Linked DNA regions of Callithrix jacchus. The protein of the gene in region 1 interacts with the protein of each later gene in a biochemical or structural test. Links are inferred from orthologs where the notes say so. Each region holds a gene or a part of one and is shown on either strand. Other genes may lie near its edges.

What was found.
Region 2: of the proteins of PRKCZ (region 1) and MBP, one has a biochemical effect on the other in vitro, tested with the Homo sapiens proteins (2 studies listed by BioGRID). The link is inferred for Callithrix jacchus from reciprocal best matches to the Homo sapiens genes PRKCZ and MBP.

The regions. Positions count from the first base shown.
Region 1 is NC_133508.1:40,123,747-40,127,542, forward strand, and holds part of PRKCZ (protein kinase C zeta type), read left to right. Parts: intron 1-1,954; coding exon 1,955-2,099; intron 2,100-3,032; coding exon 3,033-3,122; intron 3,123-3,796. UniProt on the Homo sapiens protein: Calcium- and diacylglycerol-independent serine/threonine-protein kinase that functions in phosphatidylinositol 3-kinase (PI3K) pathway and mitogen-activated protein (MAP) kinase cascade, and is involved in NF-kappa-B activation, mitogenic signaling, cell proliferation, cell polarity, inflammatory response and maintenance of long-term potentiation (LTP).
Region 2 is NC_133514.1:119,560,800-119,565,333, forward strand, and holds the start of MBP (myelin basic protein), read right to left. Parts: upstream 2,869-4,534; 5' UTR 2,685-2,868; intron 1-2,684. UniProt on the Homo sapiens protein: The classic group of MBP isoforms (isoform 4-isoform 14) are with PLP the most abundant protein components of the myelin membrane in the CNS. They have a role in both its formation and stabilization.

The DNA.
Region 1 (3,796 bases):
GAAACCTCCACCTCCCGGGTTCAAGCGATTCTCCTGCCTCAGCCTCCCGAGTAGCTGGGATTACAGGCATCCGCCATCATGTCCAGCTAATTTTTTGTAATTTTAGTAAAGACAGGGTTTCGCCATGTTGGCCAGGATGATCTCGAATTCCTGACCTTGTGATCTGCTGGCCTCAGCCTCCCCGAGCGCTGGGATTACAGGTGTGAGCCACTGCACCTGGCCCAGCTCTGCCTTTTACCAAAACTTTTGTGTTCAGGGAGCTTCTCTGTGCAAAGCCCAGGGCTTGGTGCTGGGGCCAGGGTAGGGTAGTTCAGGGCTTGGTGCTGGGGCCAGGGTGGGGTAGTTCAGGGCTTGGTGCTGGGGCCCACAGAGGCACAGGAGTCTTATCTCTGGTGGTCCAGCTGGGTGCTGGGTCCTGGATGCCCCTGCCAAGGGGCACAGAGCAGCTGCTTGATTCAGGATTGGGATGGGGTTGGAGGTGGTGGCCGGACACTTCCCCAGGTGGCCCTGGGATTTTACTGGAGCTGCCCACCTGGCCTCCAGATTGGCAGGAAACAGTGGCTTCAACCTGGGGGCAAGACTGTAGGGGGAGGTGCATGGGGTAGGAAGAGGTCAAAGGTGAAGGGCTAGCCCACTCCCCCTCTGGAGTTTCTGGTGGCTGGACTGGTGGACACTCGGTCAGGCGGAAAGCGTCAACACCAGCTTGGGGCGACCCCAGGGTGACAGGTGTGTGATCCCCATTCCTCACTTTTCTGATCTGCTGTTGTGCCAAGGGAGGTGGTAAAGACGGAGCCAGGTTGGTCCCTATTAGGGGCAGGGGCTGGGAAGAGGTGGGTAACTGGGGCGTCCTCCCCCAGCTCCAGGTGGCCCAGGATGACTGTGAGGCCTGTGGGCCAGAGGCCTGGGCTGCTGTCCTGGCTGTGGACGGATCCTCTGTTCTGTTTGCACTGGAGCTCTTGTCTGGGACGAGGACTTTATTTCTGGAAACTTGTCTGACGAATTCAGATAGCCCTGATGGGGAGCCAAGCGTCAGTGGAGAGCAGAGCCTGTGTCTCTGTCATCTGGGATGTCTCACAGCCCTCCAGGCTTCTTGTTAGAAGTCCGGAGCTCTTGCCCCATGCTCTTGTGGGTGTCAGAAAGTTGTAGATTATCCTGCAATTTCAGTGTGTTCCGAGAGGGTGTGATTCCTGCTCAGAGGTTCAGGAAACACCAGCAAGGTCCACGGTGGGCTCTTCCCTCCACAAGGGGGGTACTCCATGCAGGGGGCGATGGGGAGATCTTGGTTCCCTCAGCAGGGAAGGCCAGTCCTCGAGGGCACCTGGGAGTCCCTGAGCTTCTCCAGCCCCTGGGGGTTGGGTCCTGTTTCTCGCTGAATAAAAGATAAAAGACATGACACACTGGGACTCGGTTTTCAAAAGGCAATGTGCCTGGGTTTCTGTGATAGCTGCATGAGGGACTCAGTCCCCTGCCAGGGTCTAAAGAGGAGCCTTTGACTATAATCCCTGGCCAAGTCACGCCTGAAGGTCTGGCTTCCACTCCTGGCACCGTCAGGGTCTGGGGGGAGGTCTGACTGGGTTCCTTGACCTTCATGAAGCTGGCGGGCCTGAAGTGACCTGGCTGTGCCCACCCCCAGGGTCATCCACATTTGGGTGAACTTGAACGGGTGCCCGAGCAGGTGTGGTTGCCTGGCTTCCCACAAGAGGGCGCTTTCTCTTCTGACGTTTTTGGCCTGATTCTTTCCAGCCAGGTGGTAGTGCTTTCTTCTCTGTGCAAGGGAGCTCTTGGTGGTAGTTTATTTAAACTATGTAACATTGTGGTTAATGGTTCTCTTTTGTGTGTGTGGGCGGGTGGGGCTGTCATATTGTCTTTGGGGAAAGTTTCGTTGATCTAATCAATGATTTGGTTAATCAGTAATCATTATTCAGTTGATTCCAGTATGCCCCCCCTGTAACAGGAGCCCATGTCCCCCCGCCCCAGGGACATCTTCATCACCAGTGTGGATGCCGCCACCACCTTCGAGGAGCTCTGTGAGGAAGTGAGAGACATGTGCCGCCTGCACCAGGAGCACCCACTCACCCTCAAGTGGGTGGACAGCGAAGGTAGCCCTTGTCCCGCGTCGGCCAGCGTCCTCAGCCTCAGGGACTTACTTCGCCGGGAGCCTCTGTGTGCAGAGTCTGCTCAGCCTCTTCTGTGGGGAGACTTAAAACCCTGAAATTAAGCTTGTTGAAGCCGAAGTTTCCCCAGCGGGGATGGTGGGAAAGAGGGTGGCCGAAAATGCTTAGAGCAGACCTGTGCCCAGATGCCGCTTGGTCACCAGGAGGGGCTGCAGGGGTCTCCCTAGCCCACCCCCTCCTCTGACTGCCCTTCTCATGTCCTGGGCTTTTCCGTAGGTGCCTGTGTGAGGACGGGCTCTTCATTTTCTCTATTATTCTTCTCCCTAACATATTCTATCACACACAGGCTTTTCATTTTCTGGGGACCAAGGGGAGGGCACATGCATCCAGGGCCTGCAGGCTCCATCTCCTCTCTTAGTCAGACACACATCCTAAGAAGCGAGGGGATTGGGAGACGTGCAGAGAGACCCCTTTCTCCAGGGACCGGCAGGCAGCTGTTGGCCGAGGACACGGCAGTGCAGGCGGAGCCTGATGGCGCTCCTGTTAGGTGGGGTGCAGCCCTGCAGGGGGTGGGTTCTGTACCCCGCCGTGTCCCTGTCCAGCCGTAGAGGGCGAGGAGCTTTCCCTCTGCCCAGGAGAATGTCCTCAGATCTGCTCACTGCTGAGCCCTCCAGGCAGCGTCCAGAGCTGTGGGTGGACTGACTTCCCTTCCCGGGTATGGACTCTGACACGGCATGGGGGCTGGGTGACTCTGAGTGTGGACAACTGTCCTTGGACCTCCCAACTCTGCCAGAGGTGGCTGGTCTGAGCAGTGAGACTTTGCCCCCAGACTCTTATCCAGTGTGCTCAGGGGGCCTGTCACGGCCCCCTTTGCCTCAGGCCTTCAGTGACCTCAGCACTGTCTGCTGCCCTGCCCAGGTGACCCTTGCACGGTGTCCTCCCAGATGGAGCTGGAGGAGGCTTTCCGCCTGGCCCGTCAGCACAGGGACGAAGGCCTCATCATCCACGGTCAGTGGCAGGGTCTGTGGTGGGCGGCTCTGGGGGGCTGTTCCTGGCTGTAGGTGTCTGCCAGACCACCTGGGGGGTTGGAAGCCATATAGGATCATGGTTTAAAATCCCATGATGCCAGAGGCTTTAGGGATGTCTAATGTAATGCCATGCAGTTTTTTTGCTCTTTGACATTTTATGAGCCCAAATGAAAACTGCTCTTGTGAAGAGCCCGTAAGCTGCTCAGAGGCTCCAGTGGCCAGCGTGGGGCCTGCAGATGGTGGGGACGGCCCCACCAGCCACCTCGCCTGCCCCGTGCTCTCTGGGCCTGTCTGCAGGTTCACAGCTGTCCTCAGCTTTAAGTTCGAAGCCCCATGATGAGCTGATACATGGGAGATGTGACTTGTCATTTCTACTGCCTTTGGGGGCACTTTAGCTGCTCCCAGTCCTGCCGGGGGTCTATGGGGCGTCTGTGGGGCCTGCTAGTGTGGTTCCAGCAGCTGTGGCCAGCCAGCCACATCTGTGTCCACTTCTGGCTGGCCACTGACCACTGAGCTGAAGATGGGACGAGAGCTGGGGCCGCCCGCAGTTCCTGCAGGTCCATCATTCTCCTGGACACCAGGCTACTTAGTTACAATACTTAATCTTTGTAGCCCTTTACATCTATGTGGATTTAGATTTAAAGCTTAGTGCAG
Region 2 (4,534 bases), on another chromosome or scaffold:
CAGTGAGCTGAGACTACACTACCGCACTCCAGCCTAGGCAACAGAGCAAGACACCGTCCAAAAAAAAAAAAAAGAGTAATTAGTAATTAGAATACTTTCTTTTTCATTGGCAACTAAGAAAGCTAAGGAGAGGATCATGAACAAAGTTGGATGACAGGAACCTTTTGGTCAAATGATTCTTGAAAGGAAACATCCCTGGGTGCACGCCACTCATCATTAGGGGTGGAAGTTTAAAAGGAGGAATGATAAGCACCTTTGCAAGGCATTCTGTTCACCACAGCGGGGCAGAGCAGCAGTGAGGCGCTGGTGCAGACTCCCTGGGCAGAATCCTGCCTCTTCCTGGGTGCCCTTAGACTAACTTAACCTCTCTGGGCCTTGCTTCCTCATCAGTCAAAATGAAGATATGAAAAGCACGGTGACCTCCAATGAGGGTATCTAGGGCCATCACAACTGTTAACTGAGGTGACAAACAGCTCTCAGAAGAGAGCCTGGCAATGTGCAAGTGCTCGATAAACACTCCCTGGGGTCAGAAAAGGCACAGAGGCAGCTGCTAATCTTAAGCATGTCTTTTTTTTATTTTTTATTTTGAGACAGAATTTTGCTCTTGTTGTACAGGCTGGAGTGTAATGGCATGGTCTCAGCTCACTATAACCTCCACCTCCCAAGTTCGAGAGATCTCAGCCTCCCAAGTAGCTGGGATTAAGGCACCTGCCACCACGCCCAGATAATTTCTGTATTTTTAAAGAACTTGGGGATAAAAGTCAAACAAAATAACTTACAATTAACATTTACAAATTCAGGCAGAAATAGAAACGTCAGGAGAAAGGCTGGTCTCTTTTCCCCCCAGCGTTCGGTGGCCACCTTTCATCAGTGCCCACAGCCGGGACCCACCACACTCAAAGCGGACGTTTCAAATCAAGCTGGAGCCACGAGCTGCCAGATCTATATCAAGTGACGCATGTTTCACTTCCTTATCGCTGGGCAGAATTGCGATACTTCTGGAGAGTTTTCAAAGAAGATGACAACAGAATAGCTTTGTTTAACCCGGAGTTAACAGAGGTGGTTGTTCGAGAACAGTTAACTCCCTGAGAGTTATTCCAGCATTTACAACCATTTTTAACTGGATTCTTTTCACTCAGGTTTCTGTTTAACCCACTTGATAAAAAAAAAAAAAAAAAAAAAAAAGCCTCTGGCGTGGTGCCTTATCCCTTGGCTCGTGGGAGCATCCCCTCCCTGGCTGCCGGCCTGGTTTCAGATCATGGCCTTCCCTCCTCTACTGAAGGGCTGCTGGGTTCCAGGCTCTGAGCCGTATCCATAGCCCGGGGTCCCAACCGCTAAGGAGGCTAAGGAGGCACCCATCGCTGGAGGTGGCCGCCAGGGAGCTCAGTTCAGGACCCTACTCCATCCATGTGGTCCCTAACATGAGCGTGACCCTCCTTAACCCATCCCCCGGAGCTTCACCAAATAAAATGTCCAAAACACACACTGGCTGTTCCCTGACCTTTCCTTCCTCTGAAAAGCTCTCTCTCCAGGCGGGGCGTTCTGCGGTCAAGATGAGGCAGAGACCTCCCAGGAACGAAGTCCACGCCCTCCCAAAGCCGGGCGAGCCACGCGCCCCTCACCCACCCGCAGAGAAGCCGAGCACTTGTTGATTCTCACGTTGTTGCAATCGGAAAACGGAACAAGGAACCAGAACGCGCCTGTTTCCAGGCAGAGTCGCACAGGGATCCCTAAAGACACTTGAACCCCTTCCCGAGCCCCACTCCACCTCCCGAAACAGGGGGTTCAGGTGGACGCGAAAGGGCACAGGCGCTGCCCCCGGCGCCCGGGAAGACCTAGGGTGGCGGCAAATGACTGCGCGGTCACATACGCCGGCCTCGGGGGCACCCCGCACCCCACGCCCCCGGCCCAGGACAGGCCGTCGGGCCCGGGAGGGGCAGCCGGGGAGACCCCGGCCCCGCGAGCCCAGCGCTCAGCACCGCGAGGGAGGACCGGCAGCTGCGGGCGCGCACGTGGGTCCAGGTGGGCGCAGCGACTGGCCAGCCGAGGAGCCCGAGACAGGCCGCGAGAAGGCGGAAGCCCAAACCCAGGCTCTCGCCGCCGCTCTCGGAGTTCGGAGGGAAACTGCGCTTCACCTCGGGGGGGAGCAGCCGGGACGTGATTGGCAGGCGCCCGGAGGACCCCCCAGCGCGCCCTCGCCGCCCGCACCCTCTCCGCACCTGAGTGGCCGCTTCTGACCGCCGTCCCTCCCACCCGAGACTCCTCCCCTCAGCCCCGGGGCCCGAGGCCCAGCGGTTTCTACGACCCCGGGACGCCGGGCCTGGCTGAAGACCACCCTGGACACCTGTCAGGATCCCACCCCGGCGCAGTAAACCCGAGTCTACACCCGCGCCCGCCCCCTCGCAGTAGAGATCGGGGACAGGGCCGTGGGTTCGGGTCAGGGGCCCCCGGCTGCCACCTGCCCGGTCACCTGCGCTACTGCCCAGGTTCCCCCTGCGCGTTCTCGGCCGAGAAAGGGACTCGGAGTCCGGGCGCCGGGACAGCTCCTGTTCCCAACTCTCAGTCCACGGCTCCCGCGGGGATCGGCCCCGGGTACCCGCCCAGGTCTCCGCGGTCCCCGCTCGGAGGGGCGCGGAGACAAAGGCGCCAGAGCCGCCCCCCACCCGCCCCCGAGGGTCACTCACCGGCGCTGCGCTCGCTGCTCAGAGGCCGAGGGGTGCCGCGGGGTCCCAGGCCCGGGCGCGCAGGTCCCGGCTTCAAGCGCCGGCTCGCGGGGTCCCCAGACAGCCTGCACCGCCTTCCGGGGTCGGGAGCCCTAGGCCGCCGGGGCGGGAGGCGGCTTCTCGCGGGTGCGCGGCGGCGGAGACTGAAGGCGGCTCCGAGGGACGGGCGCGCACTCCGCTCCCGGCCCCGCCTCCCCGGGCTTCCTGCGCGCCAGGTAAACACAGGCCCAGCCCGCCGGGCCCGTCCCCCCACCCCCGACGCGGCCTCCCGGGAAGCTCCGAGGCCCCCGGGCCCGCTTTGCCCACGCGGAGTTCGGAGCCGGGGGGGGGGGTCGCACGGGATTCACGCTCAGGGTCGGGCCTCGGAGAAGGGGCGGCCTGGAGCCTCGCCCGAGACCCTTCCCCCGTGGCTCGGCCTCCGAACTCACCCGGACCCCGACCTTGCCGGAGGGGAGCGAGGCCGCATCTCCCCTTGTCCTCAGGGGCTGGAAACCCCAGAAACTGCTGAAGGACTTGGCGCGGCCCCGACCCTGCAGGAGGAGGGTCAGCCCGCCCTGGAGGCGGGAGGAGCGGGCAGGTCCTCCCAGGCGCGCCCTCCCTCCCCTGCAGCCCCGCCCAGGCCCACCTGCGGCCGGCAGGTGCTCCGCTGGGCGCCGGGAGCGCACCTTCGCCTGCAGGAGGGGCGCAGGAAGTCCGCGCGGACAAGACAGCCAAACGCGCCAGGTGCGGGGAAGCCGCCTGGTCCCGCGGCACGGAGGCGTCGTGGTCTTCGTCACTCTACTGTTAAACAGAAAAACTGACCTGCACACACAGTTGGTGGTCAGGGAGATCTTTCCCTGGATTCTCGGTCACCTGATGGAGGAGGAGGAGGAGGTGGGGAGTCCCCGAATGAGCCCCCGCATTCCTCCTGACCTGCACCCCCACTCAGGGATCTGGACCCGGGGCTTCCGGAGGCAGCCTGGGACCCACAGTTCGTCAGGAGGTGAGGGAGAGGACTGAGCGCTGTCCGGGCCGCGCTGCGAGGCGGCTCCAGCGGGGGTCGGGGTTGCGGCCTAAAACCAGCCTCCCCGGAAGACCCGGAAGATTTAGCAACTGTGTTCAAATGCTGCTTAACTGAAGAGAAATATTTAGACGATGGTACAAAGCATTTAGTCTGGGCCTTTCCTCAGGAGAGATTTTCAAGTGGAGAGGGCAGGAGGGTTCTAGGAATTTGAGGCTGAAGGTGAGAAGGGGCAGGGAAAAGGGTGTCAGAGGTAAAGTGTGCTTCTCGGATTTTTCCGTCCCCACAACCTCACTTTAAGTCAAGGATGAGCGAGTGGGTGTGGGAGGCTGGACAGCTGCCCTAGGAGCACGGGTGGTGACAGTGAATGCAGGTGCACCCGGGTCCCAGCTCAAGTCACTCAAGCCCAGGCCGGGAAGCTGGAACACTGGGTCCTATTTTGGATACCTGCTTTAACATCAGAAACAGCTTTTCTTCTCCAAAATATCTCTTGGCTTTATCTCCGTGACTCCACAGGCGGAGCCACCTTCCTGCCTGCTGATGTCCCTGCAGCTGGGCTCTGGGCACTGGAGCGTCCCTCAGACCACAGTGACAGCAGCAGCAGGCGGCCTTCTGTTCTGTGCTCTTTCTGCTGGGGTTTCAGTGGTTTCCTGAAACATTACATACGCCAACAGTCAGCTCTGCAAACGGCAGGCTCCACACGTTCCAGTTAAAAGTCTTTTTTTAAAGTAGTTATAAAATTGCACCGTGCATATTTTGTTGGGATAGAGTGTCCACGCAGATGGGCAGCCCGGCAGTTTTAAAAATTCAT